Linked DNA regions of Mus musculus. The protein of the gene in region 1 purifies or fractionates together with the protein of each later gene. This does not show direct contact. Links are inferred from orthologs where the notes say so. Each region holds a gene or a part of one and is shown on either strand. Other genes may lie near its edges. The genes, in order: Ago2, Tarbp2, Ybx1, Dhx9, Gemin4 and Ddx20.

Region 1 (4,107 bases):
CCACGGTAGAAACTTTTTTTTAAATTGTGTGATAACAGTTCATAAAATTTTTTAAAAGTGGGGGGGGGGAAGAAGAGAAACATTTTTATCATTCTGGCAGCCCCAGCCTCTTTACTTGTAAAGAATAAAACCAATGGTGTTGACAGAGAAACTCAAAAGTTACAAAATGTTGCTTCTTCAGAATGTGTAAGTCAAAGCTTTTACATCTTTTTTCTTGAACACTTATTTAAATTCCCCCACAAGCTACTGGAGGGTGGGGGAAAGATTTCCCACAAGTGCTCAGCCACCGGCTGTGCGTTCCAGCTGTTGGCAGAGCTTTCCCTGCGGCACACACAGGCCGCCAGGCTGCAGTGGTACCCTCAGACAAAACTGTGAATTGGGGAGAATGAGGGTGGGGGCAGGGCTAACCGCTGCCACCGGAGGCCACAGCAATGATCAAAGACTCAGTCCTGATTGGCAACTCTCAACCCAGTTTCCAGAGTCACAGAGGTTATTTTGTAGCAAATACTCCTGGGCTCTAGAATGCAGGAGCACCGCCTTGCAGGAGGCAAAGCTCCTCCCAGACAGTTTAAGATCCTTGGGTGGGGGGGACCCCACCCAGAACCCACTATCTAGGAAGTTTCAGTATGGGTAGTTAATTTACCTTCCCGAAACCACTAACCAACCCCAATAGCACAGGAAGGAAAAGAAAAAAACCCTATGAGGTTCTAAACCTTGGCCCCCAATGTTACTAACCTCACACATCTAACAGTATTTGTGACAGACACAATAAGAACCCACGGTGAATTCTATTTTTAAAGTTAATTTACTATTTACTTCCCATCAAGCTCAGAAACAGCAAAAGTCTGTCGCTTTTCTATAATTCAGATCCAATGGTCTTCCATTCTCCTAAACTTGGAAATATGATGGAGTCTCTTTGAAGAGATGGGGGCGGGGGGATTCCTTGTAAACAGAATTAAAAGCCTTGATATGTACAATAAAATGGAGCTGCACTCCAGGCTTGCAATTACAGACACTGGCCCACCTGAAACTTGAGTTCCTTCCCAGTCTGCCATTAGCCAAGAATTATCCTACAGGCATCTCTTTTCTCACCCAAGGCCTTCTTGGTTAGAGGGGACTGTCTCCCTCTTAGGCCACAATGCGGAGGCCCACGCAGCAGCCATCTTCAAAGCTGCCAGTGACCAAAATGAACCGGTTGCTACCGCATTCTCTCTTTTTTTTAAAGGCAACAAAGCTCCCCTTGCAGAACACACAGTAGGCTCTTACTTCCACCCTAGCAAAGAGCTCACTGGTCTAATCCACACCAAACCAGTACTTCCAACAGCGGGTCAAGGTCAAAGGGACTGGGAACCACTTCTAGAGGGGAGTGCTCAAACAGGTTGCCCTAATGCTTGCTGGCTCCCGGATGTTAAACCTCTCTGAGCCTCCACTGTCCAGCGTCTTCAAGAAAGACCCACTGTGGCAAGCTGAAGGGATCAATCAACACGCGAAATTGACGAAAGCCTGGCCTCGTCCCCGAGGAAGTCACTAGAAATTGACACATTGGGAAAACGTACAAATTTGGAGCTAAGATTTGCTGGGTTCCTCCACAGCGCTGAGCTGGGGGGTGGGGGTGGGGGGGGGGTTCCCAATCTGGCAGGAGGCTGCCGCTGGCCATTTCGCAGGGACCTCCAGGCCCCAACATCTGTCCCTAGGACCCGGGCACCTCCCAAGCGCAAGGTTAAAAGGGTCTTCAAATCGTTGGGAAGCCTTTTAACGCATTTACAAGTTGGTCAGTGGGCATTCGAGGAGCCCTGTGACATCAGGAGCGGAGGCGCACTAGGCTCCGGAGCAGGCACCATAGGGAACCCGGGAGGATCTGGGAGGCTTCCAGACCCCACAGTGAAGAAGTCTGGGGAGGCCCCAGGGCCGAACCACTAGGTCAGGTGGGCAGCAGGGAGGGCCCGCGGGCGCCAAGTACAGCCTGGCGGACAAAGGGGTGCAGGCTGAGCCCGAGCAAGCGGCGGGGCAGCCGGGAAATGGAGCCACGTGCCTGGCGGGAGAAGGCGAAAAAGCCTCCCCAACACTTGTTTTCTCAACCCCGCGAGTAAACCGCCCTCCGCTCGGCTCCAGGAGCGGGGTGGGGAAATGCGTCCGTGTTTTTAAGTTTTCTGGAACTTTTCCAGAGAAACGGGCACGCTGGTGGGAAAGGGGTGCCACGGCGGCCACCCGCTCCGCTAGGAAATCGCAGGGCGATTAGCACTTGAATGGGGAGGGCGGCTGCCCGGCGTGAAACTGCGTCCAAGCGACCGATCGCGGTCCCGGGGCCCCGTGGTTCGGTTCCCGACCCGTCCAGCTCCCCGCCCCAGGCCCGCCGTGCTGGGCCCCACAGCTATGCGCTCGGGAACGGCGGGAGGAGCGCTGCGGGAGGACGGAGACCCGTTGCAGGCCGAGCCTGGGCCCCCGCACACGTCCCGGTGGCGCTGCTCGGGTGCACTGGGCCTCCCGGCCCCGAGGCCCTGCCCGGCCGCCCCGAGGCTACGCCGCGGCCCCACAGGCCCCGCCGCCCTCGCCTGCCCCGCCCGCCAACCGCCAACCGCCGCGGCACGAGTGCCGGGCGCCGCGCGGACTCACCGGGGCCGGCTCCCGAGTACATGGTGGCGTTGCCGAGGGCCGCGGCCGAGGGCCGGCCGCGCGCTCCACGGGCCCCGACGCCGCGAGCCGCGAGGAGCCGCCGGCCGCTCGATCCGCCCCGGCGCGGCCGCCTCGCAGAACAGGTTTACCCGACGCGGCCGGGGCGGCGGGCGGAGGCGGCGGGAGCGGAGGGGGAGGGGAGCGGGAGGAGGGAGGGGAGGAGGAGGGGCGAGAGGGACGACGAGGGAGGGGACGGCGGGGAGGGAGGGAAGGAGGGGACAGCGGGGAGGGAGGAGGCGGGGAGGAGGGAAGGTGGCAGGGAGAGAGGGGGGCAGGGGAGGAGGCTGGAGGCGGCGCGCGCCGGCGGGATGGGGGGGGGGGGACTCGCTGTGGCGGCCCCCCGCGTGCTTGCCCTGAATGAGGGACCCCAGAAGCGACCCAGGGCACGCGAGCCGAGACCTTCCCTGCGGCCGAGCGAGGCGACGTCTGGTTTCCGGGCGCGGCCAGCCCGGCACTGCGACCAGAGTCGGAGTCCTCCCGCGCCGAGTGGCAGAGCCTCGGCCGCGTCCCGCCACGCACCCGCCCCTGCACCTCGGCCTGGCTCTTTAAGTTATTAACGAAACGGCGACGGGAAGCTAGCTCCCCACCCAGAGCTTGAACTTGGACGCGGCCAGACCCGTGCGCGTGACCACACCGCCACCTCCCGGCGCGACTCCACAACCTAGATAATCCTAGCAAAGCACCAAGGAAGCCCAGCAAGTTCAGGATTAAATTTTATCAGCTGTCAGGGAGCAGATCTGGTCGGGGCTTCCCGCTTTCTGGCCTCCGAGCCCCCAAGTTCTGCTCTGAGGCCTGCTAGACCAGCATGCTCTGTGCACGTATGTCCCTTCTTCACTTGTTGCTGGCGTGTGCTCCTAGTCCTGTCCAGCTGCCTCTGGAACCTTTCTATAGAAGAGGCGGGTGTGTCAGCTCCTGCCTCGCCCTGCAGGCTTTGCAATGTCTTCAAAGCCCATACTGAGAACCCAGGCCAAAGACAAACAGGGTCCTACTGCAGGGACCCCAGGATCGGGGTAGGCTCCATATTCTGTGTAGTGCTCAAAGATAGTCCCAGGAACAAGAAAAGCAGCTCTCCTTCCAATAAAGGAGGAGGAGGAGGAAACTAGACACAGCATTGCAGGGCTGCCATTCCAGCTAGCCAGAAGTCGAGGGAGGCGGATGGCAACCGTAAATCTAGTCTAGGATACATAGAAGAAAGACTTGCCCCCACCCCTCTCCCAAGTGATTGACACAAATGGGTAATCAATCATACCTAGCCCTTGCGGTACCAATACTTTGGTACTTTAGGGATGGAGACAGGATTTGCTGAACTCAGGAGTCATCTTGGCTCAGAACCAGTCAGGGTAACACAGAACTAATGGGGATGCGGTGAGGTGGGGGGGGGGGGGAGGTGGTGTTCGGCGGGAGGCGGTGTTAGACTTCACTCAGCAGTGGAGC
Region 2 (4,131 bases), about 29 Mb from region 1:
TCCTCCTCCTCCTCCTTCCCTCCTCCCCCCGTTGCCCTCCACCGGACCTGGAGAGCTGTCACCGGCGATGCTCGTGTGGAACTCAGGTGTACGGGTGTCAGCCCCAGCTTTTAGCCCCCACCCCCTACTCGAAGCCCCGTCCCCACTCGACTTGAACTCCCGCTCCTTCCAAAGCCCCCGCCCCTGGCCCCCCGGGACGGACACGCCCTGAGCGGGGGATGCTGCGCTGGAGTCGCCGGCCTCTTAAAGGAGCCTGTGGCTGCCATCCGGCGCGATCCAGGCTCCTTCCTGGAGGTGTTCTACGGCAGTTCCACTTTGGTCCTCATGCGGAATCTGTAGGATCCCCTTGTGACCTGTCTTACAGATTCTTTCCTACACCCCGAGAGCGCAGTCCATCAGTATACACAACGCTCTGGCACTGGTCCCTTGTCATACCGACATCTCCAGCTGGCCTTCCCTCGTCGCTGCTCCATTTTCACCCAATTGGAATCCACCCAGCCGTAGGTCCCTTCCCACTTCTGTGCTCCTGGATGACCGATCGCTCGTTTTCATTACTGATTCCTCTTACCTCTAACCCTATTCCTTTCTAGCAAGACATCTTATCCTAGACCCATTTTAAAAAACACTCTTTGAATCACGTTTTTCGTGGTATCACTTTCTCCTTCTGTCCAAGGTCACAAGATTTCCCATATTTCTTTCACTCTGGTGGTATCAAGGCTTTGGAGAGCCAAAGGTAATCGTTAAGCTCTGCGCGTATATTAGTTCGTTAATTATTCCTGTGCTCTTTCAGGTGAGACTAAACACAGAAGGTCCATCTAATGATTCTCGGGACAGTTAAAAGAGGTTCACTAGGGCTGATCTAAAGAGGCACGAACCCTGTCAGGCTGCGTGGAGTTAGTGAAGAGAGGCGAAGGACAAGCCACAGAAAAGCAACGGGTTTTTTGACACGGAGTGCTGAGAAGCTTACGCTACAGCCTGGGAGACCGGGTCTGAGGAGAACTCCGGACTTATAAAACCCCAGAGCTCTGGGGTGGGGGTGGCCAGGTAAGGCACACCCTCTGGGGCAGCAAAAGGACTTCGGCCAATCACAGCCTTTCCTCAAGGAGAAGGCTACACCTTTCCTCGTCTCCGCCCTCTGGGCCAAGTGACCAATCTGCAAGCGCCTACAGGAAGTCGCTCTCAGTATAGCCAATAAAGCAGCGAAGCCCGCAGCGGCGCCCGAATGACGCGCTGGCGCCTGGGTTCTGTAGTTCTCTCAGGGAGACAGACCTTACCGCCCCGCCCCTGGCCGCCTACACGCAGCTAATACGCATGCTCACAGTGTCGGCTTGGGAGGAGGCGGTGCGCAAGGAGGAAGGCGGGAATGACATTAGGAAAAAAAAAAAACCAAAAAAACAAAAAACCCAACCCACTCGTAGTAGCTTGGGAAGCTTCCGCCGAGGGTCTGCTCCTCCCAGAAGGCGGTGCAGATGCCCGGGCGAGTCTCGCTGAGGGTTGTGGGGCGGGTAGCTCGGATCCATAAGAAGACACAAGGAGCCGAGTGGGCGGGGGACTCCAGATCCCAGCATGCCCCGCGGCGGGCCCTACCGGCCGCGACTCCGGGCTTGGCCCCGGCCCTAGCTCCTCGGCGGTGTACTGGGGTGCGTGGAGGCTGTAGTCACGGTGGCGCCCGCGGGGACGGAGGAGGGAATGAGTGAAGAGGATCAGGGCTCCGGCACTACTACAGGCTGCGGGCTGCCCAGGTGAGCTGCCTCGCTTGGATTCCTGAAGGACGAAAAGTGTGAGGTGGTGAGGAGGGGCGGCGGCGCGGCCCCAGCATGCACCTGGCCTGAGGGTTGTTCCCAGCAAGCACTGGGGTAGTGGGCAGAGGTTCCCGGCATGCACTGGGGCTGTGGCCAACGCCTCCAGCTCTAGTTTGGGGTTGGCTTGATTCCCAGACTGCACTAGAGCCCTGGGCTTTATGCCCCGACGTTCAGTGTATTTGGTGGGTACTGGGTTCCCGAATTGTATTGTGTCGGGGGAAATGCACGTTCAACCAGCACCACGGCACAGGATCCCTCGCCTTAACTGAGAACAGTACATTCTCCACTTGCCTTGGGACCTTGCTTTCCCTCATGCACCTTAACTTTTAACCCAGCCAATGGATGCTATACTGCCTGGGAATTCATGGACCCTATAATGTGGCTAGGTCTAATGTGACAGTGATTTGCCAGGTGGGTGCCGAAAGGGGAAGTGTGATGTTGGTCTGTGCCCCTTCCCAGCATAGAGCAAATGCTGGCCGCCAACCCGGGCAAGACCCCGATCAGCCTTCTTCAGGAGTATGGGACCAGAATAGGAAAGACGCCCGTGTACGACCTTCTCAAAGCCGAGGGCCAAGCCCATCAACCTAATTTCACCTTTCGGGTCACCGTTGGCGACACCAGCTGCACTGGTGAGGAAGGCCTGGGCAGCCTGGCTGGGGTGTGCATTCACAGGGCCCGTGGCTTAATATCATGCGATCACCTCACAGTCCTCTCCTTTAAAGCCAGGGAGGGATGGAGATATTTCAGGGGGAAAGAAGGATTGGAACAGGGCTGTGAGACGGTGGACGGGACCCGAGAGACTCACTGGCGAGAACAGGAAATGTCACAGAGATCTGCTACTTTATCACCCCAGAGGAAGAGTAAATGAGACATTGAACTCCTCGTGGGTATTAGGGGGAGCACATACTCTGCTAGCCTTCATGCCTCACATTGAACACGAAGAACTTAGTATGAGAAATTAAATGGTAGGCTCCAGTTCACATGTAATAAGTGGCAGAGCAGAGCTTTGACTTCAGACCCTCAGTTGTCTCTATTTCCTATTTACCGAGGGAAGAGAAAAGGGGAAAGAAAGACAGAGCAAAACATCCCTCCGCAACCCACCAGTGTTGGAGCTCAAAAATCCTGCCTGGCACAGTTTCATTACGGGAGCTGACTGAAAGAGGAGGTGTTCAAGGCCCATTTCTGTTGCTGTAGTAAGGCTCCGAAACTAAAAGCAGTTTAGAGGAGGAAAAGGGTTGATAGGTTTACAGTTCAGGTTACATTCATGACTAAGGGAAGCTAAGGAAGAAACTCACATTATCAGTCAAGACCAAAGAAAATAATCTGATTCTTGCTACTTCTGACTAAGGAACTCACTTCACAGCCACAGAAGCACAGCAGGAACAATGGCAGATACTCCATGCTGGCTGGCTGGCTTATTTATACTCTACTAGATTTCTTACACAGTTCAGGACCACCTGCCTAGGGGTGGTACCACAATAGTGGGCTGTGCATATCAGCATCAATTAACTATCAGTCCATCCCCCCCACCCACCCCCAGACATGCCCTCAGGCCAGGCTGATGTAGGCAATTCCTCAGTTAAGGCTCTCCTTTCAGATCCTTTTAGATCCTAGGTTGTGCCAAGTTGACTGTTAATGCTAACTAGGAAAAAGGCTAGTCCAACAATTAGTAGAACCCTTCCAGTTCTGACAGGGGAGGTTGGTCAGAGGGCTCTTCTCACTCCCTCTGGCTATGAGGAGATAGGCTGTGGGGGCTGGTTTCTCTGCTGTCCTGCCGGTGACCTCCAGTATTGCCCACGCCCCTTTTCTTAGGTCAGGGCCCCAGCAAGAAGGCAGCCAAGCACAAGGCAGCTGAGGTGGCCCTCAAACACCTCAAAGGGGGGAGCATGCTGGAACCAGCCCTGGAGGACAGCAGGTGAGGGAGGAACAGCCAAGGCACACTAGAAGCCCGCTGAGAACCCAGGCCTCTGCACTATCTACTTCTCTCCCTAAGCCTGGTCTGGTGACTCATGGCCACCCTCTCGTGGCCCCTTCCTGAGAATTTCCTCTGAAGCTGAACAGGGTGTTTCTAGAGTGCCTCAGAGTAATAGCCAGCCCCCTTTGATGGGTGGTGGCTGCTCTGGGGCATGAGAAAAGGGCATAGGGGGTGGAGGCAAAGACTGATAAAGTTGGTCCTGGCATGCCCCCTCTTTCTAGCAAGATGGCTTTCCCTCTTCCACATTCAGGTTGCAGCTTGTTGGGTAGAAAGAGACTCTTTTCTGAGCCCCCACCCTAACCTCAGTGCTTCTGAGCCAGTGTGGGGTCAGCAGAGGATCCCAGGAGGAAGAGC
Region 3 (3,500 bases), on another chromosome or scaffold:
TCCCAAATTCTGGGTGGGGTGGGGAACCTAGCCACTTACTAGTCTCCATGTGTAGATGCACACATAGCTATTAACCCCCGGGAGGCTTAACCCCTGGAGACCAGTGCATATGTAGCTTTCCTTCCATTAGCCCAGTCGTTCCTTACCTAAAACACCAACTACACAGTACTCTTTATACTTGAGGACTGGTAGCAGACACCTCCCAGTAAGATCAACTTTGCCTTTCTTCTCTCCTAAGCATGCTTTAGATACTGTTGTTTGAACTACTATTACCTTTTATAGAATAGAAAATTTGCAATTCTACACTCTTGTTTAAAAAATAAACAACAAAGCAGTGCCAAAAGGCAAATAATACACCTCAAAGACTGCTCACTTCAATAAAGAGAATGTGCCAGAGCACTTGCCTACTAGCAAGGCCCTGGGCTCGGTCCTCAGCTCCAAAAAAAAAGAGAGAGAATGTGAAGTATTAACTCACGAAAGACTGAGAGGCGCGATGCTGGAGAGGGGTAACATCTGGCTGAAGAACCTAACACAAACAGGTTATGATGGACCATACCTTCGGAATCGTGGTCTGTAACCCCGATACATATTCTGTCTCACTGGTCTACCTTGCTCTCCTGCACCCTGGTTGTCAGCACCCTGGAAAACATCAGAAATTAAAGTCTATTTGATCAACAACAAAATCCCAAATGGGCAAATTGAAACTTTTGTTTTGAGATAGGGTCTTTCTACATAGCCCCTCCCCTAGCTGTCCTGGCACTTCACATATGCAGACCAGGCTGGCCTCAAGTCAGGAGTTCCACCTGCCCTGCCTATAGAGTACTGGGGTTAAGGGCACACACCACCACTGCTGCCCAGCTAAACTCCAACTCTTGAGCACAAGACATCTAATAATTATGGTCAAATCATAATTATTAGACACCTGGAGGTTCAAAAGCACACTCTGTGGCTAACAGGGCAATTTTAGAGAGAATTTCCAGGAGACAGTCAAGACACTGTCTTTCTCAAAAGCTCTAACAAGGAGCCTGGAGCCCTAACCTAGCATCCTCTTAGCCTAGGTTCAATTCCCAGGACAAGCACACAAAACCCTTGTTACACTCAATGTCAATCCTCTTCACTTTTTGGCACTTACCTCCATCACTTCTCCTTGCACAGGGGGGTTGGAATACTGTGGTCGACGCGCATAGGGTCTCCGCATGTAGTAAGGTGGGAACCTTCGCCTGCGATAGGGCCGGCGTTGTTGGGCCTGGCCTTCAGGAGCGCTTTCCGATCCCTCGTTCTTTTCCCCACTCTCACTATTCTGGTAATTTTGCTGGTAATTGCGTGGAGGACCCCTACGACGTGGATAGCGTCTATAATGGTTACGGTCTGCTGCGTATTTACTGCCTTGAACTGGAACTCCACCAGGGCCTGTAACATTTGCTGCCTCCGCACCCTACAAAAGTCATTATTTATTGACAATAACAAAGGAAATAAAAATATTCAATAAATTTCACAAAATATGGGGAAGGGAAAAACCAAACCCAAGAGAAAACAAAGTGGAGGCTGTGTGCATGGGCAAAGGGTGCATGGGAATGCTACATCATTAGCTCCTCACTGCTCTGCAGAGACTGCTCTGACTGCAGCCAGCACATTAGGCTCGATGCACCTGTGTTCATGTGGTCACCAGAACACACCATCCATCCAATTAGAGCCACCATCCTAGCGGATGACATCTCCACATGGTTTCCATACCGAAGTCAAACCTTTACACAAAAGCATCCTCACCTTTTCTCCTTCAACAACATCAAACTCCACAGTCTCTCCATCGCCTACACTGCGAAGGTACTTCCTGGGGTTATTCTTCTTTATGGCAGTCTAGTAACATCAGTCCAAAAATAGATTAACAGGGGAGAAGAATGTGCTTTTTCATTTTAAATGTACCAGCGTCAACATCATTTTTACCTTGGATATATACTTAATATTTGCTTTACATAAGACCAAACTGTCAATAGTTTAGGAAAGCAGGGACCAGTGATACCCCCAACCTCAACCAAAAGACTCCAATCTTACAAGGCCCCAGCGTTTTACCACAATTTACAAAACTAAAGTAATTTAATACTCAAGACAGACACAACAATGTGTAAAATAAGGTGCTATTAGGAAAAGCATCACATATGAAGCCTGGAACAAAATGAGGCCTCCATCTATCCCCCAAAGACTGCACTTAATAGCAGAAGCTAGCCCAACACACGGCCAGTTTAGATGACAGGCGAGTTTAGTTTGACATGCTTCAACTCTTGACCATTAACAACTCTTGTCCCTTGACTATATATCAAACTCAATTACACATGTCAACCAAAATCCCTTCCAGCCTGTCTATGATGAGCACTTCCATGGAAATGCGTTTCACATGTACCTGTACCACTCTTTGTACTTCTCTCTGTTGGTTATTAGCTCCCCAGAAAACAGTTAAGTCTTACATTATAGGGCTTTAAAAAATTATGAAGTGCCCAAGGTCACACAGCTATTAAGTGGCAGGGGAACTTTTCTAAATCCAGGTCTTGGGACTCCAAATCCCATGTTCATTCCACATCACAGCAGTATCCATTACAGGATCACTCATGCATTTCCATTCCAGAGGAGGCAGGACAACCAACAAAGCTGAGGCCAATTAAGCTCCGGTGCCCAGAACTGCAGTCTACTTGATACACCACCACGACCTGAGCATCCAAGTCCCAAGAACAACTCCATGTTGAAACCACTTGAAAAATAAGTAGGAAAGCATATTGGTGACACTGTGGGATAATGCGACTGGGTGAGTTGAGTCAAATAATTGATCTCATCTGTCATCTGAACTGCCGTAGTTTCACATCTTTTATATGTAGCCAACTCTCAATTATTTGCAGTCATAGGGGATAGCAGAAGCATGCATTAAAATCCCCAAACATTTAGTATTCATCTTTTAGCCCCTTCTAATCTTTCATGGTTGCCAGTGGCAGTAAGACTAATAAGCCTTGTTGCCTGTCTGTTCAAGTCTGCTATTATTTTCAGCTTATAAGAGGAAAGGTAAAAGTTACCTTATCAACAAGGATATTCATCTTTTAAAGATGAGCAGTTAATTCACATTTAGAATTTAAATGATTGCATACTTATATTCCAGAGGGTTTTAAATATACTAGAATCTATACAGGGACTCCCCTCTGAATCTCATTTCTAGAGCTACAAAATGTTAATTATCCTGTTAACTTCTCCTAAGGAGGATGCTGCCACCCAAGCTCTTAGCTATCTGAATACTGGTGAGTACTGATTCTGAAACTAGGCCTTTTAATCTCTATCATTAAAAAAAAAAGTGGTTAAAATTTACAGTAACTTTTAATGTATGTGGACACTCCCAGTCCCAGTGAAAAGCTGGTCAGCCAGCGATGTCTTCTCTAACCCACTTCATGTGAAGACAAGCTTGCTGGGCACAGTGGAGCACTCACGTAGCAGCAGTGTCTTACTTTAACAGAATTCTCAAT
Region 4 (3,500 bases), on another chromosome or scaffold:
CCGCCACCATATCCTCCCCCACCATATCCCCTTCTATATCCACTTCCATTATCATATCGGGCCATCTTGGGAGGTCGTGGACCATCGCCGTACCTAGGGGGGGAAAAATCATTTTAGCTGTGCTCTGCACACTAAATTAGCAATCACAGTGAATTAATTTTGACCTAATAATGAGACTCATGTGGTATAAACAGCCCTTTCAGTATTTTTCCATAGACCACAAAGTTCCTGTAATTCACAGTATTTTTTTTATCAAGTGTTTTCCTGTACAAATGACTTTGGTGGAAACTCCTCATGACTCCCTACCTGTATTTGTTCATGTTAAAGAAGCCAGAGTAATAAATCATAACAACAGTTCAGTTATACTAAAATTAAAGGCAGATAACTTGATAAAAGATCCAGAGGATCTTTCATAGTGTGTTTATTACTTCAAAAGTGATTAAAATTGAAATACTCAAAACTAATAAGCATAAATAAGGAACACAAACATACACTGTAACATTCCTTTCTTATAAATGCAGGTGGGTGACCACTGAAGAGAAATTTCTTAAGGCAGACAGTAAAATAAACACTGACCTTTCTATTTGAGAAAGGAATAATACTGTATCTGAGATTCCACAGTATGGAGGAAAAGGCCTCATCTAGGTTACATCATTTTCAGACTTTTAATCTGTTCTACTTTTTAGGGCTTTATTTCTCATATGGCATTGTAAATTAATTTATAGGAAAAAAGGAAATCTTTTGTTCTGAGTCAAATTAAACTCCCACATTTAATGTTAAATAATTTTAACCTAAGTATCAAGGACTCTACCAACTAGTTTTAATAATTCTAGGTCTGCAAAAGCTAGACACATAAAATTAGGTACTCACCTTACACTTCCAATCATAAGGTTGATACCAGCAGCTGAGGGCCTAGAAATCTGTCGGATTGTGTTTAGCATATGTTCATTTACAGGGTCCAATTGGCTGATAATATTTGGTTGTTTGGACACTTCAACAACCAGAGCTTCCATGGCTGCCCGGAGGGCTGTGATGCATGCTGCAGCTTCATGAGATATTTGCAGTCTGATCCTAAGATGAAGGAAAACAAGACATAAAACTGGAAACATATACAGAAAGAGGCAGATGAATACCTGACAAACTGCCCTCCCATGTGTTAAAGTCGTGGCATAAATTTAACTATTTCATTAAAATTAAGACATGCCCCAAACCTAGGTGAATGTAATAACAGTAACATTCAGTATGAACATACAAACATCTCAAAAAATGTCCAGTTCTAAGTATATAATATACCAGACTAAGAACATCTCTAAGGACTATTATTAAACACATTATTCTAAGAAATCTTTATTCTAAAAATTCAGGTTGAAGATTACGACTGAAAGTCCCTACCAGTCATCTATAAACACAATCTGCCCATCCGACTGGACTTTCTTGGAGGCAAAGAGAAGTAGCTGTAAGGGGGTCACTAAGGTCATGCCTTTAGCAGAGATGGCTCGGGTTCTAATCTGTAAATAAAGAAAATGTAAAATGTCACACATTGATAGGTAATTAGTCACATTACATTTCTCATCTTTCAGACTTCTCTAATCCTCTTACCTTTTCACCAAAAACAAAGAAAGGAGATGGGTACTTCATGTCTTGGCTGCTGAAAGGACAGTTCACAGATGACTTGTGGATAAGTGCATTGCGCCCTTCAGTGGTAAGAATCTTTCTCTTCTCCTTATGATAGCATACATTGGGGTACACACCAAAAGCCAGCAGAGAGATAACAACATCCAAATTATTATCTGGTCCAGTGTTAGTAAACACTTGTGTCAATAAACAATCTGTAAAAAAAAATTTTGGGAAAATGGTTTGTAAAAATTAAATAACAGCATGACTCTCTAAGCCCTCTGACAACTTTCTTAGAACTTTCCCAACACAGAGCAACTTTGAGAAATGCATTCGCTGTTATTACTAGCAAAGCAGATGAAACGACAATTCAAGAAGTCCCTATGCCTGGTTCCATAGGGTAGTGGTTATCACATCTGCTTTATATGCAGAAGGTCCTGAGTTTGAGCCCCAGTGGAACTATGTGGTGTGCTTATTAATTAGGCCAGTTGGCAGTGGCGCACACCTTTAATCCTAGCACTTGGGAGGCGGAGGCAGAGGCAGGCGGATTTTTGAGTTTGAGGCCAGCCTGGTCTACAGAGTGAGTTCTAGGACAGCCAGGGCTATAAAGAAAAACCCTGTCTCAAAAACAAAAAAACAAAAATAAACAAACAACACCCCCAAAACAAACAAACAAACAAACAAACCTACTTCAACTATAACCTTTTAAAATTCTACTTTCTGGTACTAACATATATTCTGTTTCTGGTTAAGCCCACTCCAGTTCACAAAGTTTAATCCAGTTGGAACTCAACTTGCTATAAACAAAGTTGAATAAGTGTCTCATCCATCATATAAAAATATGTATGTTCAAATAGGTGAGAATCATAAATATTCTCCTGTACCTGTAGTTTATTGCCATGACTCACAAATTATCTTTTTAGGGGAGTTTCTTTCTATATAATTGAGAATGGGTATTACAACTAATTCAGACTATCTTTGAATTATCACTGATTTTATTCTGCTTTTAGCCCCCTAGATCTAGAGTTACCAACATGAGACACAATGACCAGTTTATAAATACCTTCGGGAAATCCAGAGTTAATCAGAATCTCTTTAAGCTGTACTTTGGCCTCCCAAGTCATTCTCAGTGTAGCCATATTGAGTCTCTTCTGCTCACAAAAACGTATTTCTGCTTCTTCTCCACTCATCCTAAACAAAAGAGAAAAAGCATTCACTCTCAAAGGCTCAGCAAGCTGAATTACATACTCAAATAGCTTACAGAGTTGCCTATAAACTCCTACCTAGCATCATCCCAGGCTTGGAATACTGATAAAAGAGCCACGTGATCAGAAAATCTGTTTCCAGCAAAATTCCGGTGTATGTATCCCAGGCGTTTTCCTTCGCTGATAAAGGGTTCTGGGAAGCAGGTAGCAGCAGAGATGGTACAGACAGCATCTCCCACACTGAAACAAGAGTAGTATAACAGTTTAAGTCTTCTTGCTAGAAGACCTTCAAATGTGGACTGAATCTTCTGTTGGCTAGGATACTGCCTCTATCCCTGAACTCATCAAAGAACTCCAAAATAAAAACTAATATTAGGGCCCCCAATGGAGGAGCTAGATAAAGTACCCAAGGAGCTGCAGGGGTCTGCAACCCTATAGGTGGAACAACAATATGAACTAACCAGTACCCCCAGAGCTCGTGTCTCTAGCTGCATATGTAGCAGAAGATGGTCCAGTCCGCCATCATTGGGAAGAGAGGCCCCTTGGTATTGCAAACTGTATATGCCTCAGTAGGGAGGAACGCCGGGGCCAAGAAGTGGGAGTGGGTGGGGAAGGGAGCAGGGGACTTTCAGATAGCATTTGAAATGTAAATGAAGAAAGTATCTAATAAAAAATTGGAAA
Region 5 (4,254 bases), on another chromosome or scaffold:
CTTGTGCACCGTGGTATCCACACATACACACCAAGAATGTAATTAAAAAACAAACAAACAAAAAACCTAAACAAAACTGAGTCCAGTGATGGCAGACTATGGAAGATACAATAGGTAGTCTTTGGGGGATGGGAGGTGCTTATTGTCTTAGTGTTTTTGGTTGTTTCTGAGACAGGGTCTCATTATGAACTGGATAGCTTTGAACTCAGATCTGTCTGCCTCTACATCCTGAGTGCTGAGATCAAAAGCCTGTGCCACCACACTCAGTTAAGCCTGTTTTTGAACTCAGAGCCTTGCATGTAACAGGCAAGCACTCTACCACTGAGCTGTATCCGGAGCCCTGCCTTCCTTCTTTCTAAGCACACTCCTGCTTCAACAAGTTTCAACATTCTGTGCCTTACAGGGAAAAAGTTCACCCAGCAGTTTCTTCCAGTCAAAAAGGACAAGCTGGTGAAGGTTCTGGCTCTGTGGTAGGAACCAGGAAGTGGACAAAACAAATATTACATCAAGACAGCGGTCACTCATTCACTGAGTTAAGAACTGACATTTAAAGGGAGGCCATGTGGGGGTTTAATCAAGATAATGGATTCAAATCCTAACTCAGTTGTTAAAACATGATGTGACTTTACACTTTACTGAGTCTCCCGTCTGCATACATGAGAATATATGTATGCATATATACATGAGACTATAATCTTCATGGTATGGGAACCACATGACACAGGACATACACTAATCACACTTTTGTAACTATTCTGGTATTGTTACCTTTTTGAAGCATCTCCCAGGTATGGAAGAATTGGATGGGTTATATAAGCTATCTTAACCATAATCAGACCATCAAGAGCCTGATTTAAATGCTCAAGTGTTGGCAGGACTAGTCTTGTCAATATTTTGTCTCCTCCAGTGCAGAAACAGACGGGCACAGGTCTTTCCCAAAGTGTATAATCTGGCCTAGAAGCTGAGTGCAACACCTTGTCACGGTCACTGCTAGCTCTCTCCTCAGTCCTCTATGCTCCCAGAAACACATCTGCCCTATTCTCATAGGCCAGAGTCGGCAGCAAAAGTACTGACTCCAGTGAACAGCTGTGGTGGCCTATCCCGTTAGTCCCAGCTCTCTAGTGATGCAGATTTTTATGAGGCAAGCCTGGTCCACGTACTGAGTTTCAGGCTAGCCAAGGCTACATCATGGCTACCATCTCAAACTTCTCCTACCCCCAGGGAAAAAAAAAAATTACTGACACCAGGCAACTAAAAAATCTCCTGGCCACTAACCATTTACTGTCACTGCCTGCCCACCCCAAATCAAGGCTCAGCACTCCCACAAAACCCAGACCTGAAGGCAATCCAGGGTTCTTTCTGTCTCAGGTTGGTCTGCCGGCCCCCGAACACATTTCCTTATAACTGTAAATGACATTTTATTGCATTAGACATCGGCTTAGCAGAGCAAATGTCTGCGGCCAAACATGTGCCTTTCAGAGACTGTGTACATGTGGCTTGAGAAAAGTCCCAGACTCAGCTCATAGCCAGGGGAAACTCAAAGGCTTTTTTTTTTTTTTTTTTTTTTAAATCAGTAGCTGGTGCTAGGAAGTGACTGGTTACTTTGGTAGGCACTGTGCTGGGTGGCATACTTGTATTTTTTTCTGAGATAGGCTCTTGTTATATAGCTGGAACTGGCTTGAAACTATACAGACCAGGTCGGCCTAGAATTTTGAGATCCTCCTGCCTCTGCTTCCAGAGTGCTAGTTAGACATAAGCTACCACACCCAGCTTGACACCTATAAAAATCATGTAATCGTCAAACTAACTTCTTGAGGATTATAACTCCTGTTTTGGAGATGGGAAGCTAGAGGCCCAGGCACAACTTTGCAAGGTGTCTCAACTAGGGAGTCAAGCCTTGGCAGCACTCTTCACAGCTGCAGGGCACGAAACTACCATTCCACACTAAAGAGCTGGCTAGGGACAAAGACATTTCTCCACAGCGTATTATTTGCAAATCTTGGAGTACTTCCCAGGACGGCCTCCTAGTCTTACCCTCTAAAGAGCACACCTAGCAGGGTGGAGAGGGTTGGCAGATGGCCACAGATTTCTATCAACTCCGCCTTACTTCCAGACCTCGCCTAGGAGGATACTCCAAACCAAGCAGCACTCGAATTCGGATTCAAAAAGTGAAATCTCAGGCTGCGCAACTCCTGCTCACAAGAGAGGGGTGGGGGTGGGGTGGTCGCTTTGCGTGAGTCAACGAATGGGGTCCTGTTATGCACGTGGTCGCAAAGAAAACGCCAAGCCTCTGGGAGAAAGACAGTATCAGTATTTTTGCTTTATGCACTAGGCGACCTAATAAGAAACATGTTCACTAACTCGGCAGTCATTTAATAACGAAGAACTCTCCGGACGTCCGTCCCTCCCAGCCCGGCATTTCCGAAACACGTGCAGTAGCCCTGAGCATTTCCAGGAGAATCAAGGCTATATTCGCTCCCGGTTTCCCACTGGGAAGACACTACGAAGGACGGAGGAGGACTCTAGGAGACCGTCATGTGGTGGGGCTACAGGATGGAGGCCGGCCTCGCGACTGCGGGTCCCCCAAAACTCCTCAAGCCCCCAGCCTCCCGAGCACCGTAGGAGCAGTGCAGAGCCTCAGCCTGCCCAGGAGGTGCTTTGGGGGGGTGCGGCCCAGGGGCCGGAGTAGGGAAGTGGGAACCCACCTAGGTCCATGGCGGCGACGCTGGCGGCGGGCTAGACCGCCCCTCCTAGTCCAAGGCCGCGAACGCGTTGCCCGCGCCACGGCACAAAGGGCGGCGCTACAGGCGCGTCACAGGCTCCGCCCACAGCGCTTCTCCGCTTCCGTGCTGTAGTCTGCTAGCCGCTGCCGTTCAAGGCGCACGCGTACTCCTCTCCAACAAGCTCGCAGCGTCGAAGCCACCCTAGCCACAGCGCCCCCTCTCGGCCTAGGCTTCCCAGCCTTCTTAACCACAGGTACTGTTGGCTGTCTCCATGTGGAACCTGACCCCTTCAGGCAAGGAGGTCGAACCCCTTAGTCCAGACCCCTCATTCACCCTCACTCAGGAACCCCGGGCAGCTCTCGCCCCGGATTCACCCACATGGAATAACTTTCCTTCAGCTGTGTACTAACCAGCAGCGGATCCACGGGATTCATCCCCCCCCCCCCCAAGACACACAAAACTCCCTATATGCTTGCTTTTCATGCTGCACTATCTCCTATAGGCAACAGCAGAGTCAACTTTCAGAGCTCATAGGTGCTTTTATAACTTTGAAGGGCAGTCACACTGGAAAAAGCTCTGCGGGGCAGGAGCAATTGAATGGATTCCTGGTCCTCGATTTGTACGTTATTAAACACACAAACGCCCCGTGTTCATCCCACACATTATCTCTTTACCCCTTCTTTCCAAGGCCTAACAATAACATGGTTTGCTTATTTCCAACTTTCTTCTAGTACCCCGCATCACTTAAAAACAGAAGCATTGCCTCTGGTATACCAATGAGCCAAGTGGAGTTTGAAATGGCCTGTGCTTCACTCAAGCAGCTGAAGGGGCCTGTGAGTGATCAGGAGAAACTGCTGGTGTACAGCTTTTACAAACAGGCCACCCAGGGCGACTGTAACATCCCTGTCCCTCCTGCCACAGATGTGAGAGCAAAGGCCAAATATGAGGCCTGGATGGTAAACAAAGGGATGTCCAAGATGGATGCCATGAGGATCTACATTGCTAAAGTGGAAGAGCTGAAGAAAAAGGAGCCATGCTAAGAGCATTTTGGCAGACACAAGGAAGTAGCATGGCTCCACTGGTAGGGGACGGGTTTAAGATTCCTGATGGCTGAAACACACTGAAAGGGTAGCAGCGTTAGCAGAAACACCAATAAATCATTCAAACTGCATGAGAGTGGAGTCTGTGGCAAAAGAGAAACTTTGAGGGTCCTGGAGAAGTATTTAGATGTGTAGAAGCCTCTCTCTGCTGGGTGAAACTCCATTAATCTGCCTTTCTGTGGTCTGACTGGCATTAATAGTCTTCCCAGTTCCACAATGTGTGTGGATATTTGGCAGAAGAGCAAAGAGGTGGGGTGAATCATGCTATTAAAATAACCAGGGGTGGGGGCTTGGATCTGTATTATCAGGGGTTATCAACACACCAAGAACCCAACAGTACAGAGGAGAAAGGGGCTCTGCCTTCTAAAGAGCTAAAGACAAATAGAAAAGCCCTCACCTAGAACACAGGTCCAGAGAAGTTAGGATTTTGA
Region 6 (4,001 bases), on another chromosome or scaffold:
GGATTGGGTGGGTGAAAGATGTGGGCAACTATGAGGAAGCTTGCGATCTTTAGTTCCTCTTCCTTCATTTGGATAGTGGACGTTTGCTTAGTGCTTTGTTAATTTCTAAGCAAACATGTCTTAGTTAGGGTTTCCATTGCTGTAAGGAGACACCATGGCCAAGGACATTTATTGGGGTTCTTTTACAGGTTCTGAGACTCAGTCCATCATCATCAATGAGAAAAGTAATAAAGATATGCTTACATTTGGAAGCATGACTAAAGCTTTGTTCTAAGAGCTCTTTCAAAAAACAGTATTTAGTACGTGCCAGATTATGTTTCTCCTACCAGAGACAGAAGGGAACAAATCAGAATAGCTTTCTGTCCTCATGGAAAGTGTGTGTGGGGGTGGTGGTGGGGGGTGGACAATAAACATTTTAGGTAGTTGTATCATGAAGAACCTGACCAGGTATGGTGGCACACACATGTCATCTCAGTATCTGAAAAGTTGAGCCAGGAGGATTTCCAATTTGAGGCCAGCCTGAGCGGCATAGGGAGACTCTGATTTAGAAAATAAACAGACCAACTAACTAAGCCAATCAAACCAAATAATCAAACTCGGGGATAGTGGTGGGAATAATGGGAAAGGCCAGGAAGCAGTCAGGATGGAAACCACTCAAGATTTCAAGAAAAGCCTCTTTGACAGGGTGACACATGAGTGGGTCTAGAGGAAGGGAAAGTGGTGTGCTAGTTGCCCACCCCATAACGGAGGAAGGGCACACAAAAGATCCGTTGGACCCGAGACGTCTATTAGCCTAGGGTTTCCGAGAGAGCGATCAAGCAGAGCCTAGGAGTTGGCGTGCAGTCCAGGTTTCCACTTAAATATCAGGAGACTTCCGTCACGCGACAGGGTACGGATCGCGAAGACTTCGGCGTGGCTACAGCCGAGCTTGACCCAAGGAGCCGACTCCAAGCCCAGGCGACGGCGACCGATTCGCGAGCTGCGTCACAAAGCGCGTCCTGGGCGCTCGGGTCTGGAGCCCCGCCGCGCGGCCAGGCACTCAGAGCCGCGGGAGGCCGGCAGCGGGCGGCGCCCACCAAGGGCACGCGGCGCCCTCTGCAGGCCGCAGGCGGCAACACACCGGTAGCCTCATCTTCCCTCGCTCTTCCCGCCTCTTTCTCAGGCTACATTTTTTTTTTTTTTCTGCTCCCTCCTAGAGTGACAGCCTCCGACTTCCGTTCTTCCCCTCCGCTTCCAGGCGTGTCCGTGTCTTCTCCGGGAGGCTGCCAATAAAGTTTTTCTCCTTCTCGCTCCCAGGAGCCCCGCCTCAAGTCTAAATATCGCGAGATCTGGAGGCGCGGCTACCATGGCGGCGGCGGCGTTTGAAGTCCCGGCGGCCTTGACAACCTCCGAGTCCACTATGGCTGCGGAGCGTGCGGCCGCGCCGGTGCAGGCTGTGGAGCCGACTCCGGCATCCCCGTGGACCCAGCGGACCGCACACGACATCGGCGGGCCGCGCACACGTACCGGGGACGTGGTGCTGGCGGAGCCCGCGGACTTCGAGTCGCTGCTGCTGTCGCGACCGGTGCTGGAGGGTCTGCGGGCGGCCGGCTTCGAGAGACCCTCTCCGGTGCAGCTCAAGGCCATCCCGTTGGGGCGCTGCGGGCTCGGTGAGGACCGGGGCCGGCCGGCGGTGGGGGGAAGGAGGGGACGGCGTGGCCCCCGGAGAGCTCCGGCTCCGCGCCATCGCGGGGCTAAGCCAGGCTCTAAGGCGCGCAGTTGAATTTGAGGGTAGGACTTTCTTCCAGCATGGAGTCCAAGTTGGAGAAGGTGAGCGGCAGAGATTCGGGGCGCAAAGGGCTGGGGAGGTAGCTCGGTGGTTAAGAGATTGGGGCATCAAGCACACCTCCTGCGCGTTTGAGAGTCAACCAAAAATACAGGTGGCAACTAGGTCCTCATGGCAGAGAACCTCTTCATTCTCCTTTCTCGTATTTGGTATCTGGTGGCATCAGTAAATCTAGGTAATAATATGTAATATATATAATTTTTTTCTTCCTCAGATTTAATTGTCCAAGCTAAGTCGGGCACTGGAAAAACTTGTGTATTCTCCACCATTGCTCTGGACTCTCTGATTCTTGAAAACTATAGTACTCAGGTGAGTCTAACTCAGGATCCGGAAGGGGGTGTGTAGCACGTGACTCTATTGAGAGTCGTGACAAACTAGTAACTCTTCCAGATGGTGAGTTTGAAGAGGCCGGACCAAAGCGTATGCAAGTTAGGGAAGTAAACTAGATGGTCACGTCGGTGAGTTGTGGCCAAGGCTACGTCCAGTATTTTAAAGTTGGAATTTTCTGTTATAAGTACATCTCGACCATTTGTCAGTTGGAATCGTACAATTAAAAATTCATTTACTTTCTGACTAGAGTGGGATTAGACATAGAAGGTAGAAGTTCTGGATTAGTAAGTACTGTGCTATGGCAGAAATTTCAGGTGGTTCTTAAAGCCTTGTGTATGTGTTGTATTGATCTCTCATTTTCTAGGTTGCCTCGGGATATGGTTTTAAGATTGTCCTACTCAGCTTTGGGTTTGGGGGATCATTCTTTAAAAAGCTTTGTTTAGCCATTGTTACATATAAATACTATAGTAGGCACTAGGGATTAAACAGTGAATAAGATGTGATCCTGACACTGTCGTCTGGAGTGTGTAGTGATGGCTGACTTCAAAAGGGGGCTTTTGAGATGGTCGATCTTCAATGTGATTCCTTTAAACCCAGGATTCTTGTATTTGTTGTCTAGAATCTTTGAGTTCTATATCCACGAAACCGTGGGAGATAATGAATATACTTTTTAAAGTACATTGGCTAATTTATTTGAGATTTAGGATGTGTTGAGAGTTTTGGCTTTGTAATACTTGGCAACAGACAAAATCCCAAACTTGAGTAAAAATCATATTTTTAAGGTATATTATTAAAATAATTAGTGCCTGTGTATTATGTAGTATCAAAGTAATACTACATAATAATTTATAGTTGGGAAAATCAGAAAGAGAGAGAGAGAGAGAGAGAGAGAGAATGAGAATAAAGTACCCAAATCTGTGATGTGTGCCCAGAGTTAAGGGATTTTTAAAAAGTCTTATTTCCTAGTCTTTTTTTTTTTAAAACCAGTATGTTCATTTCCAGTAGTTACATTGCAGTTTGTACTGTGTGGTGCTTGGGGCCTTTGGTACCTAACCTTTGCAGTTAGCTTTGAGATATAGTCCTCTCACAAACCTTTAATCCCAGCACTTGGGAGGCAGAGACAGGCGGATCTACAGAGAGAGTTCACGAACAGCTAGAGCTACACAGAGAAACTGTCTCGAAACAACAACAGAGAGTATGTGGGTCTTTCTGCTGTTCTTCATGTATATCTTACTACTTTTGAATTTGTGTTTTCTCTTCCTAAAGCATTAGTGTGTCCCACAGCTAGCTCTGTGCTATACATTTAGGTTTCTTCTCAAATGTTACCTCCTTATGGGGCTCCTAACACGTTTGTTTGAGGCAGGCACACTTGGAATAGTCCTAGCTGGCCTGAAACCTAGACTAGTCTTCAACTGAGGCAATCGATTTCTGTTTCTAGGGTAGTAGAACCTTCTGTGTGTGCCGACACTCTCGATGTAAAAGGGCTTTCTGATTATCTCATTTAAAACCACTCCCGGGCTGGTGAGATGGCTCAGTGGGTAAGAGCAACCGACTGCTCTTCCGAAGGTCAGGAGTTCAAATCCCAGCAACCACATGGTGGCTCACAACCATCCGTAACGAGATCTGACTCCCTCTTCTGGAGTGTCTGAAGACAGCTACAGTGTACTTACATATAATAATAAATAAATATTTAAAAAAAAAAAAAAAAAAAAAAAAAAACCCACTCCCCTTGTCAGGGCTTTCTCTTTTCTCTATTTGATATATATATTAAAAAAAAAATCTTACAATTTATTACTTGCTATTACATGTATATATATGTTATGTATGTATATATTCATTATGTATG

What was found.
Region 2: the proteins of Ago2 (region 1) and Tarbp2 purify together in Homo sapiens (co-immunoprecipitation; 10 studies listed by BioGRID and IntAct, with this or other methods). This does not show direct contact. The link is inferred for Mus musculus from reciprocal best matches to the Homo sapiens genes AGO2 and TARBP2.
Region 3: the proteins of Ago2 (region 1) and Ybx1 purify together in Homo sapiens (co-immunoprecipitation; 4 studies listed by BioGRID and IntAct, with this or other methods). This does not show direct contact. The link is inferred for Mus musculus from reciprocal best matches to the Homo sapiens genes AGO2 and YBX1.
Region 4: the proteins of Ago2 (region 1) and Dhx9 purify together in Homo sapiens (affinity purification with western blotting; 5 studies listed by BioGRID and IntAct, with this or other methods). This does not show direct contact. The link is inferred for Mus musculus from reciprocal best matches to the Homo sapiens genes AGO2 and DHX9.
Region 5: the proteins of Ago2 (region 1) and Gemin4 purify together in Homo sapiens (affinity purification with western blotting; 4 studies listed by BioGRID and IntAct, with this or other methods). This does not show direct contact. The link is inferred for Mus musculus from reciprocal best matches to the Homo sapiens genes AGO2 and GEMIN4.
Region 6: the proteins of Ago2 (region 1) and Ddx20 purify together in Homo sapiens (affinity purification with western blotting; 3 studies listed by BioGRID). This does not show direct contact. The link is inferred for Mus musculus from reciprocal best matches to the Homo sapiens genes AGO2 and DDX20.

What each region holds. Positions count from the first base shown.
Region 1 is NC_000081.6:73,182,148-73,186,254, forward strand, and holds the start of Ago2 (protein argonaute-2), read right to left. Parts: upstream 2,801-4,107; 5' UTR 2,636-2,800; coding exon 2,614-2,635; intron 1-2,613.
Region 2 is NC_000081.6:102,516,861-102,520,991, forward strand, and holds the start of Tarbp2 (RISC-loading complex subunit TARBP2), read left to right. Parts: upstream 1-1,331; 5' UTR 1,332-1,689; coding exon 1,690-1,742; intron 1,743-1,792; exon of another isoform or gene 1,793-1,984; intron 1,985-2,261; coding exon 2,262-2,431; intron 2,432-3,614; coding exon 3,615-3,717; intron 3,718-4,131. UniProt on the Homo sapiens protein: Required for formation of the RNA induced silencing complex (RISC). Component of the RISC loading complex (RLC), also known as the micro-RNA (miRNA) loading complex (miRLC), which is composed of DICER1, AGO2 and TARBP2.
Region 3 is NC_000070.6:119,281,014-119,284,513, forward strand, and holds part of Ybx1 (Y-box-binding protein 1), read right to left. Parts: intron 1,858-3,500; coding exon 1,768-1,857; intron 1,436-1,767; coding exon 1,133-1,435; intron 640-1,132; coding exon 557-639; intron 1-556. UniProt on the Homo sapiens protein: DNA- and RNA-binding protein involved in various processes, such as translational repression, RNA stabilization, mRNA splicing, DNA repair and transcription regulation.
Region 4 is NC_000067.6:153,456,661-153,460,160, forward strand, and holds part of Dhx9 (ATP-dependent RNA helicase A), read right to left. Parts: intron 3,060-3,500; coding exon 2,898-3,059; intron 2,806-2,897; coding exon 2,678-2,805; intron 2,077-2,677; exon of another isoform or gene 2,004-2,076; intron 1,830-2,003; coding exon 1,600-1,829; intron 1,509-1,599; coding exon 1,393-1,508; intron 1,072-1,392; coding exon 871-1,071; intron 94-870; coding exon 1-93. UniProt on the Homo sapiens protein: Multifunctional ATP-dependent nucleic acid helicase that unwinds DNA and RNA in a 3' to 5' direction and that plays important roles in many processes, such as DNA replication, transcriptional activation, post-transcriptional RNA regulation, mRNA translation and RNA-mediated gene silencing.
Region 5 is NC_000077.6:76,214,773-76,219,026, forward strand, and holds the start of Gemin4 (gem-associated protein 4), read right to left. Parts: upstream 2,801-4,254; 5' UTR 2,716-2,800; coding exon 2,706-2,715; intron 1-2,705. Other genes in the region: Dbil5 (diazepam-binding inhibitor-like 5), read left to right, coding at 3,500-3,763. UniProt on the Homo sapiens protein: The SMN complex catalyzes the assembly of small nuclear ribonucleoproteins (snRNPs), the building blocks of the spliceosome, and thereby plays an important role in the splicing of cellular pre-mRNAs.
Region 6 is NC_000069.6:105,684,772-105,688,772, reverse strand, and holds the start of Ddx20 (probable ATP-dependent RNA helicase DDX20), read left to right. Parts: upstream 1-1,201; 5' UTR 1,202-1,345; coding exon 1,346-1,649; intron 1,650-2,039; coding exon 2,040-2,134; intron 2,135-4,001.